Linked DNA regions of Notamacropus eugenii. The protein of the gene in region 2 interacts with the protein of the main gene of each other region in a biochemical or structural test. Links are inferred from orthologs where the notes say so. Each region holds a gene or a part of one and is shown on either strand. Other genes may lie near its edges.

What was found.
Region 1: the proteins of LEF1 (region 2) and transducin-like enhancer protein 1 form a complex in vitro, tested with the Homo sapiens proteins (2 studies listed by BioGRID and IntAct, with this or other methods). The link is inferred for Notamacropus eugenii from reciprocal best matches to the Homo sapiens genes LEF1 and TLE1.
Region 3: of the proteins of LEF1 (region 2) and NLK, one has a biochemical effect on the other in vitro, tested with the Homo sapiens proteins (4 studies listed by BioGRID). The link is inferred for Notamacropus eugenii from reciprocal best matches to the Homo sapiens genes LEF1 and NLK.

The regions. Positions count from the first base shown.
Region 1 is NC_092872.1:72,093,125-72,101,571, reverse strand, and holds the start of transducin-like enhancer protein 1, read left to right. Parts: upstream 1-5,339; 5' UTR 5,340-5,665; coding exon 5,666-5,689; intron 5,690-6,785; coding exon 6,786-6,886; intron 6,887-8,354; coding exon 8,355-8,418; intron 8,419-8,447. UniProt on the Homo sapiens protein: Transcriptional corepressor that binds to a number of transcription factors. Inhibits NF-kappa-B-regulated gene expression. Inhibits the transcriptional activation mediated by FOXA2, and by CTNNB1 and TCF family members in Wnt signaling.
Region 2 is NC_092878.1:122,373,385-122,380,991, reverse strand, and holds the start of LEF1 (lymphoid enhancer-binding factor 1), read right to left. Parts: upstream 3,067-7,607; 5' UTR 1,700-3,066; coding exon 1,481-1,699; intron 1-1,480. UniProt on the Homo sapiens protein: Transcription factor that binds DNA in a sequence-specific manner. Participates in the Wnt signaling pathway. Activates transcription of target genes in the presence of CTNNB1 and EP300.
Region 3 is NC_092873.1:35,498,359-35,505,759, reverse strand, and holds the start of NLK (serine/threonine-protein kinase NLK), read right to left. Parts: upstream 3,428-7,401; 5' UTR 2,432-3,427; coding exon 1,971-2,431; intron 1-1,970. UniProt on the Homo sapiens protein: Serine/threonine-protein kinase that regulates a number of transcription factors with key roles in cell fate determination. Positive effector of the non-canonical Wnt signaling pathway, acting downstream of WNT5A, MAP3K7/TAK1 and HIPK2.

The DNA.
Region 1 (8,447 bases), on a different chromosome or scaffold from region 2:
CCAATTTAATTTTGTTGGTTTCCTGCAATCTCTAATTTTACCATATTGTGAGAAACCACAAGAGATTCTTTGGATCTGATTTTATTTGAGGTTTTACTGCTGCATGGATCTGCTACTGATTTTTTTCAACTTTTCAGTCTTTTTTTCCCCTCTTTTTCTGTCTCTTTTAGTAAAGGAGCATGGTGAGCAAAAGGTTATAAAGTAGTGCTGAGAAAAGTCCTTCTGGAGCCCCTCTGACAGGGTTAGGCTCAAAGAAAAATTCCTAGCTAAAAAAAATTAAATGATGAATAATGAAAGCGGTAACTATTAACTAGAAAGTAGAGAGGACAATGAAAATGGCTTTTTTAAAAAGCCTGACCCCATTATTATTTGTTTCATAAAAAAAGAGGTAATCGTTTTAAGAAGATACATAATTTTTTTGGATTCTATGATTAGCTACCTCAATTAACTTTTTTTTCTCATTGCTCTGCAATGCAGAACAGTGGAATAAATCACAGGAAAAGATTTTCTCCTATTAAGGAAACAATACTATCTAGTATCTGTAACATCTAGTATTCATTTGGACATGTAGTGGAAATACTTGTGTTATTAGTAGGTTGAAGATTTGATAATCAACATGTCAATGGAAAAAAATGTACATGCGCATCTATGGTAAAATGAACAGTACCACAATCCTTTGTTTCCTTTTCTGGAAAAAAAAAAAAGGTACTCTTCGTCAGAAGCTCAGTATTACATGGAAACTGCATTTAATATTTTTATCCATATATTCATACATGAATGTGAAGGTTAAAAAAATTATGTTTAACAGACTTCAAATAGAAGAGTAGAAATTATGAATTTGATAAGTAGGCACTTTCTATTTTTCTTTTAAATAATACTGTAGGCAATCTGCACATATATTATTTATTTAAAACATAAGATTAAAGCTGCTTGATTGTTTAAACACCATCATTTGTAATGCAGTTTGATGAGAGTTTTGCAGTATAATTATTACAGTCTGACAATCAAGGAGAAAATATGACCTTGAAAAGGGGCAGAGCCTTCTATATCTTGCAGGGATGCTGTTCTGAGAAAAAGAAGAAACTGGTGAAAAGTAGCCATCATTAGGGCACATAATTAGAGACTTTCAATTGTAAAAGATAATTTTCCAGAGATAACACAGGAAAAATCTGTAAGTCCTGGTGTCTCAATTGCCATAGGTCAGGAAGACCTTTGTCATTAAAGAAACTTAGAGTTTTCTCCAATATACACAGGAAAACCTAGTGATTAAAAACATTTTAAGTTCATAAAAAATTACAGAACATTATTATGGGGTGGGGTGGAGTAGGGAGAATGGAGGGAAGAGGAGGAATAGAGGGGAAGCAACACTGTTTTTGTTCCTGTTCCAAAATACACTGTTTTAATTTGTCTGTTTATATCTAATTACCAGCTTGTGCCAGCAGGTTAAAATTCACACCAGCCAAAGCTGGGTAAGCAGGTGTGTTGCTGTCTCCCTCACTAGGTATCCTCGTATATGCATGCATATCTATGATATGTTCACATGTTCTGCATAAAAGTGAACAAAATCCTATGAATGCAGAAGAAAAATTGTTCTAGGTAAACATAATGGGATATCATTTGAATATTGTCCATCAAACCAAAGTGGATCTTTGATACAATCACCAGATGTTGCCCTCATGTAAACATCTACATGTCCATAATACACTTAGAGGTATATGTATATGCATATAGGTCTGTATACATATAGTTGCATTTGAAATGTATTTGTCAAGGAGGGGAGGAAGGCTGAATTTATGTGATGACATAATCTGACAAAAATAGGAAGCACTTCCAGCGACTTTATTTTCCATGTAAACAAGACAAATAGCAATGTTTGTGATTATTCATGAGTGAAAATTCCACTTATTTAGTAGACTGCAGAGATAAAATTCTGAATGTTTAAGAATTTACTATAGCCTTCAAATATACAGCCTAAAAATGTTTGTTTTTCATTTATAATTGAAGTTTGAGGCTTGATACAATCATGAAAAAATCAATCTTATAAATGTTTTAAAACTGCAACAGTGAAAGATGTTGCATAAAATGATCCTTTAAATATTTTAAGAAGAATGATCTTTGTAAATGCAAGAATCTTTAAATAAAGTGCATCTGTTTAAATAGCAAATGCTTAAAAAAGACTTGAGTCTTTAAGAGTTTTTAAAGAAGACAATTGGGATAAAGTAGTCATTAATACTAAAAGACTCATTAACTAAATTCCAACATAAGATTCATATTTGTCAAAGAAGTACATTTCCAATTGAAGAATATGTTACCATTTGACAAAGATAACATTCACACATGGGGCATGTGGAAAGACTATAATTTAAACAAAACTGAAAACTCTTTGCAAAATTAAAGCCTTTAAAGTTTGTATGCATACATTTGCGCTGACAGAACTGAAAACTACCAATGCATTCTATTTATACAAAGACCTTTGAGTTGATCTATGAATTCCAACTATGTCACTTACCCAACACTCCCCAATTCATCACCTGAAATATTTCAGTGCTCTTTTACCATAAAAACTATCTGGGGGAAAAACAGGTTTGCCAGTACACAGGGGATGTCAGTACACACTATTTCTTCCTCTCTTTTCAGCTTTTGGAAAGATTATGGTGGTAACTGGGGTGTAAGACTCTTAAGAGTCTGCGGTTGATTCACAACATAGGCTGGTTACAATTTGCAAAACAGGGTTTGAGTTCATCCTAAGCAAGTAGCAGGACTTTTCTGCCGACATGTGTGATTTGTGTCATTAGTGCTTTTTCTAGCCTTGTGTTAAATAAAACCACTGTGGTTTTTAAAAAGTGCTTTGAGATCCTAAAAAATAAAATGCTACGCAATTTCAACGTGGATGTTATACGTAAAAATGCCTAGGAATGCCTTCCACTCTGCCTTTTCAAGTGCATGTGCTACCCTTTCGTGTCCGTGAAAAGGTAACTGTTGCTAAAAACAAACCTGAAAGACATTTTGAAAGTGACCTGGCTTTCAAAGTAACAGTATCAAACGAGTGGTTTCCATGAGGGGGAAAAATGTGCTCTTCTTGAACTACCCTCCATTCCCAATCATAACGAATGGTTTGCCTCACTGGGGTACTACTGTCACAGATATCTGGAGGTTTTTTTAAGTGAAAAAAAGAAAACGATATTATTTTTAAAGCCACACACTCTTATCGACACCGCTCCTCGCCCCCTCTCCCTTTTCTCCCCAGAACGCGCCCGCGCGCTCACTCTCCCCCACGTTACTTTGATTGACAGGTCGGTACTGCCGCTCTCCTTCCCACCGACCTTCCCATCCTCCGTGCCAATCTCAGCGTTTCCCCGCTTCCTATTGGCTGGCCTGGGCGTCCCGCAGCTCCTCCAGGAACGCTTCCTCGCGGAGCCGGGGAGGACGAGGCTGGGCGGAGGGGGCGGGAGGAGAGACAGGGGAGACAGTGCTGATGGAAGAGAGGAGAGGAGGGAGAATGGTGAAGTGGGGGGAGGGGGGGAAAGGCCGAGGCTGGTACTGCGCTGCTATAGGACGTTGGGAGGCGTGTCGTCAGGATCCCACGTTGGGGCTTGGAACGGACGATTGGTTGGGCCGGGACTCCCCTCCTCCCCTTCTCCTCCCACCCTCATCCACACGGACTCCATCCTCGGCTCCTCGCCCCCCTTCCCCGCTCCCCGCCCGCGCCAGGGTGGGCGGGGCCGGCCGCTGGTTAGCTAGAGGAGTGTGAAACCGCGTGTTAATGTTACCAGCGCGAGAGGCGCAGGCGGCGGCGGCGGCGGCGGCGGCGGCTTGAGCAGGAGCCGGAGCTGGAGCAGCACCGCCGGATACATTGTGTCCCGCTTCTTGAGAGGCGGCTGCTTGCTACCCGCTCGGTGCCGCTGCTTTGGCGGGCAGTGGCAGCGGCGTCACCGGACCCTTGGCCGGCTGACCACACCGATTCACCTCGGCCCGGCCCCCTGGTCACTCTGTGACTCTCGATAGCCCTGTGGAGTTTGCCTGATTGCAAAAAAAAAGAAAAAAAAAAGGCAGAGAAGATCATCAGAGCGAGCGAGCTAGCGAACGGGCTTGCTCCGTGGAGTCTTCCCAATCGTACCTCGGTTTATGGATGTTTTCCCCGGGATTCCCGGGGAACTTTACTTGTGGCTGGAGCGTCGATTGTTAAAAGGGAAACACAAAAAGGGCGGGGGGTGCCAGGGGGGAAAAGGAAAAGAAAAAAACCCATAAAGGATTAGCAGCGGCAGAAGGCAGCAGGGCTGCGGGGCCGTGCGGGTGTCTATGAATGTGGAGATGCTGCGGCGGCGGCGGCGGTTGCTGCATGGGTGTGTGTGAGTCGCTCCCCGATGTGCTCCAGGCGCGAGGAGGCGGCGGCGGCGGCGGCAGCAGCTGGGAGGCTGCTGCACCCGGGAGGGCTGCACCCTTCTGAGTAACTGAGAATTGCCCCAGCTGGTTCGCCTTTTCTGCTACTAGGATTTCTGTGCAACGGCCAAGAAGACTGTTGCCTCTGTCTACTACTGCCACCCACCACCTCGTCCCCTTGCTTCGGCTTGTTTTAGTTGGGATTTTTTTTTCAGTCTCCACTCCAAGACTGCTTGAGTGCATATGCTGCGTGGCCACCCCCTCCTCTCTTGCGCTCTGTGTCTCTGCACTTTCCTTGCATCATTACCCTTCTCTCTGTGGTTGCTGGTGATCACTTGGCTCGGAGCCTCCACCCCGGGCTCTGTGTGTGCGTTGTGCGTGTGTGTGTGACCCCACCTCCTCCCGGGAGCGCCTTTGAGGCTAGCCGGCCCGAGTACGGATGGGTACGTTTATATGTGAGTGATCCTCGGCTCCCCTTTGCACCCACCGACCCCTGTCTGGGCGGCGTGGGGTGACAATTCCTTACAGATTCGCCTCCTGGCTGCCCTCCCTGGATATCGTCTTTAACTCAAGAAGTCACCCGGCTTGCTCAGGGGTTTCCGGTCCCCTGATTGTTAGTTTGTTTTTGTTGGGGGGTGGGGCGGCGTTCTTTTGCCACCTGCAAGTTGGCCCCCCACGGAGCAAGGACGGGTGGGGGGGAAAGACTGGATTGATTTGCCCTGGACCTGCGCAGCTCGCGCATCTGAGGGGAGTGGTTGGTGGTGGGGGAGTTAACCTTGGTCCCGGCTTTGGCCGTCGGGGAGGAAGACCTGTGCGTCCACCCTCTCTCTCCCACCTCAGCGCCGGAACTGGGGGATTCCATTGTCCACCTCGGGTCCGTTTCCTTCTTCCCGAAGCCTAGAAACTCTCCTCTTCCCTCCCCCACTCCCCGAGGCCGGGCGGGAGACGTTGGCCCCAGTGGGAGGTGGGGGCGGTGAGCAGGAAGAGAGGGAAATGTGGCCCTGAGCTCGGGGCCCGGCCTTGGGAGCCCAAGTGGCCCAACTCCGGCTCCGGTCCTGCCTGGCTGTTGTGCGTGCGTGTCCGTATGTGCGTGTAATGTCAGTGTCTGTGCGCGCGCGCTTGTGTGTGCATGTCTAACGCGCACCCCCCCACCCCCCACCCCACCTCCTCTCGCTTGGATCTTCTTTCTTCCTTCCTGTCTTAATATTTCTCGGCGGGATTAAAGTTGGAAATTGAGCGGAGAATTGAGCTGCCCAGGAGCAAGGCAGCGGCTGCCGTCAGAGCGATGTTCCCGCAAAGCCGGCACCCGGTAAGGAGCGGCGGGGCCCGGGGGCCCTGGGCGTGTGCTTGTGGAGGGTGCATGTTGGGGGGGGGGGGGAAGTAGCCGAAGGTTTGGAGGCTGGGGGAGGCGCTGTTCTGGGGTTGTGCCCTGCCTTTGCCCCACCTTCCCCCCGCGGGGTTCGAGGCTGCTTAGGTTGCCTTCTCGGAGTTGCTGGCCCTGTTTTCCGCTTTGGGTGCGGGGGTGGGGTAAGAGTGGTGGAAGATGCCGTATGGGTTTTGTTTTGTGGTGGGTTTTTTTCTTTGACAAATAGAGTGGAGGCAGAAATCCTCTGGCTTTTTTCCCTCTTGGCCACCTTCCCCTCCCTCCCCCCACTTTTAATTCCCTTTTTAGCACCTCTAAAGGCGGCAGGCACATAGGCTAGCGGGGCAGAGGGACGGGGACAGAGAAGCTTCTTACATTTCTTCTCCCCATCCCTTCTGTTCCCACCTAAGGGAGGAAGGTCTTTAGCTCTCTCTTCCCCCCCCCCAACCTCCAGTAGCTGCCCCCCCCTCAGGTCCCCCTTTGTTCACTATCTTATTTCCATGTCAATTGCAGCCCTGGATCTAGTGGGGCCAGGGCTGGCCCGAGTCCTCTTAGGGGACTCTGGGAACTGGGAGGATGGGGCTGGGGTGTCTGTTACTCCGCTAACCTCCCTAGGGCTATTATCTTTATTGCCTATAGGAGGGGCGGGCACCCATCTTTAACGCCACCTTCGCAGGCCCTTTAGGAGCAGGGTGCTACTTCGACCTGAATTACAGGGGCATCCCCCATCTGTGTCCCCAGGAGTGGGACGGGGAGGGGCAGGGGTAGATTTCCTACCTCGCTTCTACAGGCTCTGGGAGTTTCGGCAAACGGGGTGGGGGCAGGGAGCGAGCGTTGCCGTCTGCCTCCCCTAAAGTAAACTGAAAAAACAAATTAGTTTCTTTTTGTACCTGTGATAGCTGGTAACTTTTGTTTGGGTTTTGTCTCACCTCTCTCTCTCTCTCTCTCCCTCCATCCTCTCCCCTCTCTGCCCTACATTACCTCCCCCCCACTTTCTCTTATTCCTGCACATCTATGCACACCCATCCCACACCTCCTCCAGACGCCGCACCAGGCTGCAGGTCAGCCCTTTAAATTCACCATCCCGGAGTCCCTGGATCGGATCAAAGAGGAGTTTCAGTTCCTGCAGGCTCAGTATCACAGGTGCGTGCAGTGGGAGCATTCAGTCCTGAGCCGACCCTGGCTGGCCCTGCCCTGGGGTTTGGATGTCAGCGTGGAACGTCTTGGGCTTGGTGGGGGTTGGGGGCTCTGGTTTTCTGTTTCTCCCTGTCTTATCCCTGGGGTGGCAGCTGTATTTAGTACTTGTGTCCAGGCGGTGGCGTGTGGAATCACAGTTAAAACCTGTCATTCACTTTCCCCCTCTTTTTTTCCCCTTCCTTGGCTTTTCTCAGTCCTCCTCTTTTTTTTCCCCTCCTCCTATTGTTTTGGCGTCCTGTTTGCTGCTGTTCAAATGAACTTTTTTTGTGTGTTTTGGAGTTAACATGAGAACCGTCAATATTTGCCCTTCATGTATTTATTTTGCAACAGGCTGAGCTGAAAACACTGGCTCAATCAATGTCTTAGTCTTGGAATGCAGGGGACAAATGCAGTGTTGAAATAACTATTTGGTTATGTTGGGGGATAGAGTTGTACAAAGCAAAGTTCATGGTGGAAAGATTACTCCTTTTAAACCTTTAGAGTTGTTGGGCCATTTACATTGAGGTTGACTTTGGAGATCCCCAAAAATAAATAGAATTTCAAGTTCCCAATCTCAGAGCCCCATTGAACTGAGGCTTCTGCATATGAAGTTCATCATAGCACTTGAGTACAAGTGTAGACTTACTGTCCAAATCAGTGGGAATTTTAAACAGTGGAAGAAACACTGATATTGTGGCTTGCTCCTTAGCTTAAAAGCCAACTTCTAACCGAGGCATTAGCTTTTATTCTTTAGAGATAAATGCCATCACGGTTTAAGTTAGTTTCAGCAGAAAGCAGAGGCAACTTATAAATTACCATTTTAATAGGGAATGTGAGTGGATTCTTTATTGTTTTCAGGAATGTCCAATATTCTGTTTAAGGCATGTATTTTCTTATCACACACTTCCAAGGCTATACCTATGTCATTGGTTATCTGATGTGATGTTTTAGTGTGTTTTAAAGACTAGGGTAAAACTAGTTGACTGTTAGGGAATAGTAATTTTTCCATTACAATTTTAAAAACTTAGAGGGATGTTTGAATCCACTGAGTCAAAACACTCAATATATGTTGTTTGAAGTTCAAGTTTCTGTTCAGAGGGTTATCCCACACCACGAACCTAATAAAAATTTAACTAGCCATGAGTTAACAGATGATAAGACTACTGGTTAGTTTGAGGACCTGACTTATTTTTTTACCCCGTACCTGGGATTTTATATACCCTAAGAATGAATCATAATGGAATGAACTGCACATAGAATTCATTTTACTTGTATTCTCTATTAAATACAAGGACAAAGCTTTTGGGTGTTTACTTTGATAGTTTATAGTTTTTCTAAATTGGTCTGTGTTTTTACTTGAAGTGCAAATATGTGAGGCAGATGTTAAAACAAGTGACATAATGTTTACATGAAGTTGCCTGTTTTGTTTTTGTAGCCTTAAATTGGAATGTGAGAAATTGGCGAGTGAAAAGACAGAAATGCAGAGGCATTATGTGATGGTAGGTATCAAAGATTTATTTTATTCCTT
Region 2 (7,607 bases):
CCTAGAGTCTTTCTATACACTCAGCCTTGGTGAAGAATGGGGACACTAACTTAGATGTCTTTAGGGGAGCAGCCTTGGTGTTATAGTTTGGGGGTTCAATTCAGATGGCTTTCCCAATCCCAGCACAGAGCTGGACAGTTATTGACAGTTATTGGACGTCCACACACATCTGATAGGTTTTCATACAAGGGACAGAGTTTCCCCCCCGTCTCTCCCCTCCCCCCCCCCCCGCCCCCTTCAGTTGTCTTCCCTTTTTCTCTCAGGCACCCACGTGTCTCTATTTACTTTACTCGGGTTACTGGCGCTATCTCAAGGAGCGCGAGGCCAAAGGAGAACAAGTAGATCCGATAAAGAATCGTCGATCTCTCCCCCCACCCCCCCACCCCCCTTTCCTTTGGTGCCACGGGCCTGGCTTTATCTCGATTTACGCCGGAGTTTCTGTATCTTAGTTTCAGCGCCCGAACAGCAATAGACACAACCTGGGGGGTGGGAGATGGAGGGGTAGGGAGGTGATGAAGGGAGGTGGAAGAAAACCAACGTGCTGTGAATAAAGAGGCAACGACCTTGTAGGCAACACGTCTGGGTCTCAGATTCCTCGGGGCCACAAGTGACGGGCTTCAGCTACCGTGGCTGTTGCCTCTGAGTGGGATGTGGGCAGCTGTTTTTGGGCTGCGGGCCCCTTCCCATCCCTAACCTCCACAGTAGCCTCCCACTCGTGCGCTCTGCTCCCCTCGGGCCTCCCTCCCTCGCTTGCTTGCTCCACCGGTTCCGCAGCTGGCAGCCCCAGAGTCAGCCCCTGCCCCACGCCCGCAGCCCACCGCCCTTCCTCTCCGCCCCCACCCCATCTCCAAATGCTTTTTGGTGGTTTGACACACTAGGGTAGACAACTGTACGCATTAAAGGAAAACTTTTGACTGTTAGTATGCCCCCCCTCCCTTTTCTTCCCCCTCCTTCCTTTGCCCCATCCTCTTTCTCATCTCTCGCCTACACTAAGAAAAAAAAAGAACGCGAAGAAAGATTTAAAGCTAGAAGAGTCCTCAGGCCATCTAGTTCACCTCCTTTGTATTGTAGAAAGGGAAACTGAGGCCCAGAGAAGATATCCAGGGCTGAACTCTCCTTCCAGGTTATGAGTCCTAAGAAATCCTGGGAAACACGCACGAGACCGTGTATTCCCGATGGCCATATCAACGAGCCCCAGAAAACCACTAACTTCAGAAGTTTGGCAGCACACACACACACAACCACACAACACACACACCTGTGCACACAAAACAGGAGCATTTCCTTAATGGTCTAGCACCCCGCCACCCCTCGCCAAAATAAGAAGTTATACATTTAGCACCACAACTCTCTGTGCCACCCCCCCCCCCCACACACACACTTACATAAAGACCCACAAACACAGCCAGTCACCCATTTCTTTCCTTCCTCCCTAGGGTGCGTCCCATGTTTTTTCAGGCTGCGGGAGTGGGGAGCTCACCTCATGCCCGTTGCTGGCTGGGATGATCTCGGATTCATTGACCAAGGAGGATTTGATGTCGGCCAAGTCCCCTTCCTCTTCAGGGTGACTAATCTCTGCGAAGATTTTTTCTTTCTGCGGATCGCCTTCGTCTTTGAAGGGGATCATCTCGTCGGTGGCGCACAGCTCCGGGTCCCCCCCGCCGCCGCCGCCACCACCTCCCCCCGAGAGCTGGGGCATTCTGGCTGCTCTTTAATCCCCTCTCCTCCGGGGGAGCGACCGCGGCAGCGACGACACAACAAAAGCACACAAAAAGGGAGGGGGGGGGGGGGGGAGAGGAGGCAGAGATTGAGAGAGTTGAAACTGGCGTGCAAGAAAAGAATGGAATGGGGACGTTCCTTGCTCAGGGGCACTCGGCCAACAAGCCTCCTTTGCAGCCGCTGGTAGGGACGCCTTGGTGATGGCCTCTTAGTCGTGCCTACCCCTCCAGAGGAGTGAGCCAAGCTCCAGACCCGAAGGGAGAATAGCAGGAACCGCGAGGAGTGGGAGGTTCAGCCAAGCTGTCGAAGTCGGCTCTCTTCCCCGATCACTCCCGTGCCTCTGGTAAGCGAGGCGCTCGCTCCTGCTTCTCCACCAAAGTCCCTGCCTTCTGTTGTGTCTGCCAGTGGAAGTTGGTGTGAGTGGTGAGGGGGTGGGGGCTAGCCAGAAGTGCGGAGGCGAGGCAGGCAGGCCTCCGCGCAATCTTCTGGATCTTCTGGACAAAGTGGATATTAGAGTCGTTTTGTTTTCAAAAGGGAGTGACGGAGCTTGCCCAAAAGGCTCCGGGTTCGCGTTTTCCCACGATGAGAAGCTGCAAGGACAGTCAGGAGATAATGTAATTTCCACTTCCTGGAGCAGCGATAGATGTATATGGGCATCTATCTCTGTAGCAAATAATCAGCAACCTGAAGACGCGTGTCCTTACAGCTTATGGTTTCTTTCCCTTTCTCTTCGCCTTTGCATTTCAAAGCCCATTTAATCTGTAGGAGGGGATGAAAGCAGAGGACAGAACTCAGGGGCAGAGGAGGAAAGACAGGGAAGGAGAAATGAAGGGAGGGAGGGAAAAGTTTGCCAAGAATAAAGTTTGTGCCACCGGAGGTGTGGAGAGCCGAGGGGCGCAAGGAATAAAAACACTGGTCTCTGTCTCATACACACACTCACACACAAACACACACAAATACAGAAAAGAAAAAAAAATCCTAGTCTCAGATATAAGGCAAACTCTTCTTTGTTTCAAGTTTCTCTCCAGCCTTAATTTTCTCGCACCCTGGATCGCTTTTGCTCGCCACCCTTCAGCTGTGTCCGCAGTCTCTGTCAGAGCAAGTTAGTAGCTAAGTCCCTCCGCTACTACTGGAGCCAAGGGGGCGCGCGGAGGGGAAGGGGGAGTTGGGGGGAAGGGGGAGGGGAAACTGACTCCTGCTGAGAGCAAGGACTGGAGAGCCTCGTCCCGGCGCCTCTGGAGGAGTCCACAGAGCCCGGAGATCAGGGGGAGGTTGAGGGGCGGTCGGGGCTTTGAGGGTTCCTCCTCTTCGCTCTTCTCTGCAGGTGAGCGGCTGCGCCTCCCGGCCGATTCTCCACCTCCCTCGCCTCTCCGGCGCTGAAAAGCTATCCACAAGCGTCGGATCTTCTCCTCCTCCCTTCTGGATACCCCCTCCCCCCTCAACTCCTCCGCCTCTTTCTTTCCTAGGCTGGCGGCTTAAGAGGGGTGGGGGGGTGGGGGCAGAGGAGGTGGTGATTGAGGGTGATTTTTTTTTCTTTTCACAGAGCCTGTAGGACTGGTCCTCCGCGTGTGGGGTGTGTTTGTGTGTGTCTCCGGGGGAGAAAAATTAGGCAACTTCGACAGGGAGGGAAGGATCTCGGGGCTGCCCCTTCTGCCCCTCAAAGAATTGATACGCTTATGTGAAGTTGAAAATTGGGGGTCTTGCCTTTAGGGTTTAACTTTAACATCTAACCTTCCTTCCTCGTCCCCCACTCTTCTTACTCTTCCAGATGCCCCCCACCTTTCCTGCTTTCTCTCTCTCTCTCTCTCTCTCTCTCTCTCTCTCTCTCTCTCTCTCTCTCTCTCTCTCTCTCTCTCTCAGAAAAGGGGGAGAGGGAAGATGAAAGCGAAGCCGCCGCTCTGATTGACACCACATTGATAGAAGCTCTGAAAGAAGGGAATTGGGGGGAGGGGGATAAGCAGAAAGGAGAAAATGGGGGAATGAAACCGCACAGAAATCACTGCTTAACTAATAAGGGAGAAAAGAAACGGAGAAGGAAAAGAGCCACAGGTATACATGTATTGCATACACATACACACATGTATTTGTAGGGGGGTATATATACATCATACCTATATTCACATTGGGATATACGCACATACATATATACATGTACAATTAGTATGTAGGACTGTAAAAACACATATAATTTGGGTACCAGTGAGCACAAACTTCCGGGCTTTGGGAGATCAAGTGGGGGAAAAGGGGGAGAGAGGAAACACAAAGACTAATAAGGGGAAGTTGAACGTCTTAATTATAATTAAAATGATCACTCTTTCATCACTTTTATTCCACAGGCATTTTAGGCAGATGTCCTTTGGATGCCCTGATACACACAGTAGTGCAGGAAAGAGTGTGAGCATGGAAGGCGTAGAGCAAGGGAAGAGGGGAAGGAGAACGAAGGAAGGCACCCATGAGCTGACAGTAAGTAATGTATGTCAGAATGCAAAATCAGTAGATGAACAGAGTAAGGTGAGGAGAGGGCAGGAATCAGAGCTACGGCATTCTTTCAAGAAAGGGCGAAAAATCAGAATAAAACCTCAAATGTCCCCTAATCTCCCACCATCTCCCTGGCACTGTGTACCAGAACTATGCTTTCGGGACTATTTTCATGATTATCTTTTGTTACACTTAGGGGACATTAAGGTTAGAAAGCACGATTCATTTCAGAAAATTCTTACATTTTGCTACTTTTGCCAGCCTTAACTATGCCAGAGGAACATCTCGGTTGAGTTATTACAGCTAGTAGACATCTAGTAAGACCCCAAGTCAGTGTCTTCCTTGAGTTGAAAACTAGATTTGGTTATGTTATATTATATATATATACATATATATATATAATATGTATATATATGTACATATATATATATATATACATGTAAAGATTCCTCATCTTTCCCCAGGGTCACAAATAACACCAAAACTATTAATTGTTCAGTTGATAGTCATCTGTCAGGGATCGTGACAGCACTGTATATTATCGAAAACTTCACCCATTGGTAACTGCTTCTTTTGGCATAGAATTTTACCAAACAACTTTTAAGGAATGAAAACATTTGAAAGGGTTTACTTTTTCATGAATAATTCATGCTTAGCAGAAATATTATTAGTAATATATGGGGAGTCTGGGATAAGGATAAAAGGGGTGGCAGAGAGGGGAGAAGGAAGTGAAGGAAATTCAATCCGCTTTGAACAGCTGACAATTTTATGCCTTAGAGGAAAAACAAAAACAAAATCTTGCTACAGTATATCAGTAAACTAATGCTAAAGAGTTGGAGAGAAACCCATTTTCTTTCTTTTCTTTATTTTGGGAAGAGAGTGTGGAGGTATTATGTTTCCTTTAATATTAGCATGTTTGATCTCTGCACCTTAGATACTATTATGAACGTTTATATCATCTGATAGTTTAAAGGAAACGTGAACAAACTAATTATGTTAATAATGATCAGAAGAAAAAGAAAATAGCCAATTCAGCCCCATCAAAGCAGGCAAATGTTCCTTTATGAAAAAAAAAAACAGGCTAAGGAGAGAAGGTGCAAGTGGAATTAAGTTGCCAAATTAAGATGTATACCTGCGTATGTGTATTGGGGGCGGAGGTGTTCTGGAAGCTAAGGAAGTCAAATGATCACCCTTACTATTTTAAGTGATAAACCTAATTCGAATCCCATTTTCTCCTTCCTGTTAATTGTTTGGACTCTACTCATTTGGTTAAAATGGTCAGGAGAGGACTGAGAGAAGATGGGAGTTTGAAGAAGTCATTAGAGGGGAAATCACGTAATGAGGACCAATTTAAAGAGTCAAGGGAAAGGAGGCTCCATTTGGTGCTTTATCATAGTAGTCCTTGGAAACATTATTTCTAACGAAAATAATCAAGCACCTTGGGGATACGAAATGTTTTGTTATTTTTACTCTGCAAACGGCAAGATGTTGGGGTTACTGTAAGTCTTCTGTCGCTATTACAATTTGACGCGACCCCAGGAGAGACGGCCTAAAAACCTAGGTGGGCACCAAGGTGATATTTCAATGTGCATTCTGTCTTTCCCAGGGCAGAGGGAGGGAGGGAGAGGAGGGGCGAGGCAAAGCCCGGAAGATGATTTCCGTTCTCCCTAATGGTTTGTTTGCAAGGCTCTAGCGGAGAAGTTTCTGTCACAGGGCTATACTAATTGCGTTAGCGATTAGTCTGTAGGACTGCAATTAGCGTGCAGGCGTCCCATGTAATCACTGAGATTTGGATCACAAATCAGGAGTTGGTATTGGGACGCCAGTATCTAGCACTGGGTGGGTTTATTTCGGTTGACTAGAGCGGATGGTGAAGTTGGATGCTGCAGGTTCTCCCCTCCAGGATGTGGGTTTAAGAGGGCGTTTGGATGCATTTGAATTTCGACCATGAAACAATTGCAAAGGGTTGGATGGTGGCGGAGGCGGTATTTCCCTCTGATTCCTTTAGCTTGTTTGGGTTTAGTATGGGGGTGAGCCAACAATACTTCCTCCTGCTCATGCAGGGGCTGGCTTTTTTGGTGAGGATGAGATTACCTAAGCTCTCAATCAAAGTCGAAGTCGAGGCTTGCACACGTTTCTAACCTGCTACTGAGGTACCCTTCAATCACGGGGAGTTGGGGATGGCGGAAGGAAGATCATTTTAAAATTAAAACAGTGACTTCGCTGCTAAATACGTGTGCACAAAATAAACTTTAATTAAAGGGAGAAAAGCGGTGTTTGCTTTTATTCAGCTCTCCACCTCCACGGACCTCAGTCAATCCCCCTTCCCCTTTTTGGTTTATGTGGGCTGGAATTTTTCCCAGCTACGATTTTGGTGGGAGCAGAAAGGAAGATGATGGTGGCCTAAGGAGGGGACATGGAAGGGCAAAAGGGAAACGAAATAATTTACCTCAGGAAGAGAGAGACTCAGAAAACCTTGACTCAGACGCCAGATTTGGCTGAAAACAGCACAAAGCTGTCGGCACCCTCAGTTTATGAGGGAGGTGGGATTTGAGAAAGAAGGAAGATGAAGAGAAGGGCCATTTTTGTTTAGAAGGTTGCCTCCCCCAGCCCTCAAGATATACAAACATGGCCCAAGCGGGGAGCTTAAAAACTTCTGGGAGCTACGAGTGAAAATTCAATATGTCTGAACTAGAATGACAGCAAACTACATCATTCGACCATGTAAATGTTGCTGCAGATTGGATTGAACTGTTCCACGCAATCTCTGGATCCTTCTTATTATCTGGGAAAGCAATCTTCTGTGTAACGAGATCGAGACTTAGAACCTTCTCCCCTCCCTATCGCCATTCCAAAGACTTGTGTGCGTGTGAGCGCGGAATGCGCCCCACTCACCAATCCTTAAGAAACCAGTGTTAGCCCTGCAGGCAGGTCCTCAAGGATTTTCCCATCCAACAGTCTTGAGATGCGGACGTGAAGCGTTATCACACCTCTCGGTGCGCAAGATCTAGCTAGCGGAATTAAAATGCATCCCTGCAGTCATTCTGGACCGGGCGAACTCATCACGCGAGCCCTGTCCAAGTCCAAGAAAAAAAAACGTTGTCAATAACTGGCCAAGAATAAAGAGGGGCTGAGGGATGGAGGGCCTTAGAATAAGAAGGCAGTGGATACACACTCTACCTGTCCTGCCCACAAACCTTGTTTCAAACCGGTCCCCGGGGAAACGGTAGATGGTATTTGGAAAACGAAAGAAGGATTTTCTTAAATCATCTCCAGGTTGTCGGGTCAGGAGATGAAACCTCAATAATGTCAGTGAAATAAGACATTGTTAAATTTGGGGATCCAAAGGACTAGGTTGCTAAATCCCTCTTCTTTCCGACTCCCTCCCACGGTTCCAAAAAGTTCCAGAC
Region 3 (7,401 bases), on a different chromosome or scaffold from region 2:
CTTACCAATGAAAGCATTCCCTCCAAAAATGAAGCTCCAGATTCAGCTGCATCACTCACACCTGCCTATGCAAGGCAAAGCCTGTTTCTGTTCTTCTATAAGTCCACCACAAGGGTTTGCTGCACACTGTGAGGGTATGCCTCACTTTCTCTTTACATCTAGAGATGACCAAAGAGCACCAAAGGGCTGCCCGTCTGTCTATCCCTCTCCATAAAACCTTGCTTTGGCTTTTTTTGCTCATACATTTCTTTCCCTCCTCATTTTTCCCATACCTATTCTACGACCACAACTGCTGGCATTTTTTTCTAGAAGTAATATTACTTTTGACATGTTTGGATTATACGTAAAGCATAATGAATGATGCTACAATCCATCTCTTTCTATCTTTGTTTTCTACCACAAGTAGCCCCAATGAAGGAAGTCCCAAAACGCTGTCACCCTTTCTATTTAACAGGCAAACTTCTGAGTGTTCCCAGCCTTTTGGCGAAGAGGCTACTCTGAGCCACTGCCAACGAGGGGCTGAGAATGAAGCAGCAGAGCAGAGCGGGACCCTCCTGTAGTACTGCCTTCTTTCCTAGCAGTCCCACAAAACCTGAGAGCTCCCCTCTTGGATTATTCACATGAAGCTTTAGTATGGACAGGCGAGTTTGATCTATGGTATAAGGACTCCTAGTTTTAAAGAGATGAATCAGATCCTGCTTGAAAGCATAAAGGAAAAAAAATCTGAACTAATAAGCCATGATTGCCAGAGACAATGCAGAAAAATACATTTATGTTAATTACAGGATCATCCTGAGAAATAATGAAAGAAGTCTTTGGAGAGGGGTTTGGATGGGATGCATGGGTGGAGGCAATCTATTCTACTGGTAGAGAAAACTAAATACTAACAGGAATCTTTTCGGTATGTATAAGAACACTGATGCTTGTAAAAGACAGCCTAACCTCTGAAATGTTTCCCCATCTACTCCATTATTGTTGTATAGAAATAGAGTTCTACATTGTTAAATACTGATACTTTTATCACAAGACTGTGTCTTAATCTTCCAGAGAAGACAAAACAAACCAAAATGTTGCTTCTTTCTATTCTTGTAATACATTCTAGGAGTACAGTAAGTAGAGGAATGTTTTTAAAAAAATGCTTTATCTCTATATGGGTTGAGAGAAACTTAACTGACCCCTGAATGACACTAAAACCTTACAATGAATGTGGACCACTGCTTATCTACATTCTACCAATGTTACTTGTAACATCCTGAGTGAAAAACTATACGTGATGCTTCATTACTAAAAGACCATTAATGCTCTAACAGGTTTCCTAAACAGGGCTGACTACAATAGCCTCATGGGTCTAAAACAAACCCGTCAAGAAAATATGCTTAAGTGTGCCTAACTTTTCTTCTTTTGAGGAATGCAGAGCTGTTAGAAATGATCTAGTTGGTGACAGCCAGGAACTTTACCAGCAAAAGCCCTTGATGGGTCATGAAATAAGGGGATAAAGATGAATGGGAGTGGGAAGTTATGATGTAAAAAAAAGCAGGCTAAGTAAGGATAAGATTCTAACATGAGACACATGCTTAGCTTGGGATGGTTGTGATACTTGAAAAACCTGGGCAAATGTTTGCAAATTCTGACCCTACCAGATGTGATCTTCCAAGGTCTTCAAGGAAAGACATATTCCATCCCTTCTTTATGTGCCACCCATTTGGCTGCTTACTCAAGCCTTGCACCATGCCCTTGAGCAAGACTGCCGTCCAAACTGTGACATGGATCCTAAGACCAAGCCTAGGCCTACCACCATGGCTGCACACTAAGCCTGCTCATAGCACATGAGGCAGTCTTTCCCTAAGCGTGGCCAGACTCAGTGTCCTTGGGCAGAGCACATGCCAAAGGCCACATGCACCCTCTGGCTGGTTGTGCCCAACCACAACAGCTGAAAAGAAAATTAGCTGTGCCTTTCTTTTCATACTCACCAGACAACACCAAAGGCCCCATATCCAATAGGTCTGTCCGGCTCAACGTCCAGCTGCTGTTGTGGATGGTGTGAGTGCTGATGATGGTGCGCTTTCACTGCAGCTGCTGCTGCAGCCTGTACCTGAGCTGGGGCCGTGGCAGCTGGGCCAGGGGCCTGACCTGGTGCCGGTGATGGGAAATATGGCTGTTGCTGCCCGGGGTTTAACATGGCAGCAGCGGCCGCGGCTGCTGCAGCCGCGGCCGCCGCCGAGGAGGTATGCTGCTGCACCGGGTGGACAGCAGCAGCTGATCCGGGATGGAGATGGTGCTGAGGGTGGTGGTGGTGGTGAAGGTGTGGAGGAGGCAGGTGTGGAAGGTGGTGGTGATGGTGGTGGTGGTGACCTGCTGCTGCCGCGGCAGATGTACCACCATTGTAAGCCGCCATCATCTTTGCGTTGGCTGCCGTGCCACAAAGAGACATTAAAAAATGCCCTTTGATTTGAAAACAAATTGGGTCAAGCTGTCATTTGGCCATTTAAAAATGAAGAACACCACTCCACCTTGAAAAACATAGAGCTTAACAGGCTTTATGTCTTCATCAATCAATCCAAACAATTTAGAGGATCTTGGTGTTTTCTTTTCCTTTGTGGGTGTGTGTTGCAAAAAAAGAGAAATCAAAACAAAACCAAAACAAAAAGAAAAAGAGACCCCTTCCCCCCAGGATTCCTGCCACAACTGAGTACTAAAACTTCATTATTAACATTTTTGGGGGGAGCCCACTAACTTTGAATGTAAGTATAGAAGCCAAATCTCCTGCTCCCCCAGAACCACTCACACAGAAAGACCCAGGGAACACACCACCCTTGGAAACCTCTAAGTAAGGCGGCTTCACCTACCCCTTCCATTCCCACATCCTTTTCTGAACACCTTTCCAACTCCTCAAAAATAAAATCCTCACTCCACCTTCTCTCCCCGCCCCACCACCACAAAACAATTGGTTTTTAAGATGGGGGGGGAAATCAGAGAACGAAGCCCCCCCCCCCCTGGACCCCTCGGGCCTTCCTCCTACATCTCCCCTTCCTCTTCAGTTAGGTGGACTGGGAGGGGAAGGGAGGGGAGGATGGGGATGGGGGCGGGGGGGGGGGGTGGCTAAACTTTCCCCGGGCAGGATGAGCCAGGGAATGTGGGAAGGTGGCAGGGAAGGGAGGGAGGGAGTGAGGGGGAGAGGAGCAGGAGACAGGGAAGGAGACGAGGAGAGAAAGAGAAGGGGGAAAGTGAGGAGGAGGATGGGGGGGAGGGGATGGAAGGGGGGCGGGAGGGAGGTAAGATGGGCAGCGCTCGCTGCTCGTTCGATCCCCAGCCCAGGCACAGGGAACCGCCCCGGGGGCTGAGGCTCCGGCTGAGCCAGGCGCCGGGGCCGGGGCCCGGGCCCAGCGATGGAGCCGCGGGAGGCGGGTGGGGTGCGCTCGAGCTCGGCTCGCCTCCTGCCCCCGCCGCCGAGCAGGGCTGGGGGGAGAGCGGGTGGGTCCCCCGCGCGACGGCCCCGCCGGGCTCACGACTGCTCCGTCTCCCCCCTGCCCCCACCCGGCTCCCCGCCGCCGCCGCCCCCGCCTTCTCTGTGTCTCTTCAGCAGCAGCAGCCGCCGCCGCCGCCGCCGCCTCCTTCCTTCAGCCGTCGCCGCCGCCGCCGCCGCCGCCGGACTCACCTCCCTGCACAGCCGGATAGAGCGGAGCCAGCGGCGGACACGCGCAACCAGCCGCCAAGGCCCCGCCCCAGCCTCGCACTGACCGGCCGCCTCGGCCAATCCGAACCCGCCTCCCTGTGCCCGCCTCCAATCGCGGGTGCGGAGCCCCAGACGGGCGGGTAGCTCGACCAGTGGAGGTAAGGTGGGGATGCTCCTGGGGAAATCCCGCCTTCGAGCCTCGATAGGCAGGCTTACGGTCCAATCGAGAGGTAGAGTTCGTTCTGAAGGACGGGCCCGAAAGCGAATCGGAAACCAAAGATCCCCGGTGACATTCTCTTTAGCCCCGCTTTTTTTCGGCCTTTTTCTTTTCTTCTTCTTTTTTTGGGGGGCAGGAGCAGGAAGCTGCGTGCTAAGCTCGGCTATAAGATCTGAAACAGAGGGGTGGAATGAAAGGACCAATGATAGGTTGAAGACAAAGAATAGAACCACCAATCCTGACCAGGGAAAGGAGCAAAGGCGGAACGCCACGAAGATGGACACCTGGAATTGACAAATGGAAGTGAGAACTGCTGTCGGTGCCGCCCCCCAGATCCCATATAGGGTAGGGCTATGGAGACCTCGCTGTCATTTGTGCGAAGATCTCTTCAAGGGGCGGGGCCTAAAAGATGGGCGGGGCATGTGAGAAGGGGTGGAGCCTACATTCAGTGGGAGGAGTCCAAGCCAAGGATCAGCCACACTAATGCTTATCTAAACTTGATTTGTGAGAGACAAGCTTCACCTTCTCTTTGATAAACAACCCTGACCTTAGACCGCTTTTCAAGAGGAGGAGAAAGGGAAGGAAAATTGAGGTCACCTAGTAATTCAGTCACTGAGCCAGCCCTGGCATCTGGACACACTGCCCACGTGCTGCCCCATCTCTGGCATTCTCCAAAGCTTGGCTTCCTATGGAAGAGAATGGAGTTTATGAATTTATGAAGGCTCACCACTGCAATTAAGACTGATGCATCCTTTTTTTCTTTTAATTCCAAGCTTGGTGGAAGGATAGAAAGATTAATTGTCCATATGTTCCTCCAATAAAATATAAGTTCTTTGAGGGCAGAAGCAGCTTAAGTTTTTTTTTTTAATCCCTGCATTCTCGGCATCTAGCATAATGTTTGGTGCTTAATAAGAACGTAATGACTTGAAATGAACTGAATTGAAGGGCCCTAAGATATGCACACAGACCACAAAACGAAGGCTGTTTCCCTGAGAGAAGCAAACCAGCAAGTGTGTGGAGTTTGTTCTGGATGGGGGTTTCTGTCCTCCCATCTTTCATCCAAGAGGGGTACAAACATTGGGGTCGATCCATTAGTCCCTCCCATACCTTCCCAAAAGCATCAGCTGAGAGGCCTTTCTCCTCAGGATTTTTTTAGGCACTGGGGATGATAAACTGGAAGTGGGATGTGAGTCAGCAAGATAGCAGTTGCTGTTTTAAAAAAGCAAACAGGACACTGGAATGCATGAACGGGAATATAATGTACAGGAAGTGTGGGAGGTGATCTTGTTCTTATGCTGAGCATGGGCTGGGTCCTGTTCAAGTTGAAGGCAAGATGGGTAGGACTGGAAAAAGTCCAGTGTGGGACAATTGCAGTGATGAAAGAATTGGGAAAGGGCTCTAAGGAAAAACCGAAGGAATTGAGGTTTCTTAGATCAGAGAATTATATAGGCTTTACATTTACAACAGCTTTTTACACACTCAGCATCATCACATTTGATCTTCACTGCAACAATCCTGTAACATGGAGATTACCACCCATTTTACAGATACAGAAGTTGAGGCTTGGAGGAGTGAAATGATTTGCCTATGGTCACATAGGTTGTAAGTGTTTGAGGCAGGATTACTCCCTATGTGCTTTTTACCATTATACCACACTGCTTTTTCAAAAGGAAAAGATGAACCAGAGGGAAGTTAAATACCAAGATGTCCTTTGATTGAGGAAGGAGGGCCAAGGCTTTCTATAATTACTTTATCTATTTCCAGCATTATCTCTTACTAGTCCCACAAATATACACCCCATTCCAGCCCGGAAGGTCTCTTCATTGTCCCCCAAATACTGTCTTTACTGCTGGGTCTTTGCTGGAGTCTTACCTTGAATGCCATTGTCCATCTCTATAAAGGTAAAGGGAATAGATTGTCCTGCTACAATCACAGGGGCATCTCTCTCTTAGTCATTGCTGGCAAGATTCTTGCTACAGTCCTCCTTAATAGGCTAATCCTTCAAATGGAAAATGGTCATCCACCTGAGAGCCAGTGTGACTTCAGAAAGGGCCAAGGAACAATCAATATGGTGTTTGCTGCCCAACAACTCCAGAAGAAATGCCAGGAGAAGAAGAGGTCTATATACAATGTTTGTAGATCCGACCAAGGCCTTTGACACTGTTAGTCATGAGAGCTTATGGAAAATTATACCAAAATTTGGTTGACCAGAGAAGTTCATCAGTATTGTACATCAATTTCATGATGGCATGTTTGCCCAGGTTCTGGATAGTGACAATGGTCACGTGCTCACCGGTGGAGTGAAACAGGGCTGTGTGCTTGCTCCCATGCTTTTTAGCACGATGTTTTCAGCCATGTTGTCAAATGCTTTCAATGAGGATGAACACAGCATGAAAGTCAACTATTGTGCTGATGGTAAATTCTTCAATTTGAAAAGGCTGTAGCCAAGATCAAAGTGTTGGTGCAATTTCTATTTGCAGATGATTGTGCAGTCACTGCAGCCTCTGAAGCTGAGATGCAACAAAATATGGATCAGTTCTCTGCTGCCTTTACTAATTTTGGCCTAATAACACAGGTGCTCCATCAGCCACCACCACCCATCTATACATGGCTGGAGAAGTTTTGAATGCTGTGGATAAGTTCACTTATCTTGGTAGTGTACTTTGCAGGGATGTACACATTGACAATGAGGCTGACACACACATTGCCAGAGCTAGCTCAGTGTTTTGGAGGCTCCGAAGAAAAGTTTGGGAGAGAAGGGGTATTAGACTGACTACCAAACTAAAGGTCTATAGAGTCATTGTGCTGACCTCATTGTTGTATGTCTATGAAACATGGACAGTCTACCAGTGCCATGCCAGGAAACTGAATCACTTCCATTTGAACTGTCTTAGGAAGATTCTGAAGATCACCTGGCATGATAAGTCACTGAGGTCTTTGCTCAAACTAAACTGCCAAGCATTCAAACTATTCTTCAGAGAGCACAATTCTGATGGACTGGCCACGTTGTTCTAATGCAAAATGTACGCTTGCCAAAAAGACTATTTTATGGAGAACTCACATGGTGGTCAGAAGAAGTGATACAAAGACACTCTCAAGGTCTCTCTCAAGAACTTTGGATTTGATTGGGGGACATGGGAGACACTAGCACAGGACTGCTCAGCATGGTGTGCCCACATCAGAAAAAGTACTGTGCTCTATGAGCAAAGCAGAATTGAAACAGCACAAAGGAAATGTAGGATGCGCACATTTGGAGTAACCACCCCAAATGTTCACATGGACTATCTGTGTCCAACCTGTGGTAGAGCATTGTGAGCTCAGTCATACTCATTGAAACTTCACTTTATCATGGTGATGTCCTTTTGGTCCTCCTTGAGAATGAAGTGCCCGGGGCGACTCGAACAGCAAACCACCCACAATGCCCTGGTACCTTCTCTTCTCCTATAAAGGGCCAACCCAGAATGCAAGGTCCAGCTCAGATCCTTCATGGAGTCCTTGCTAACCATCCCAT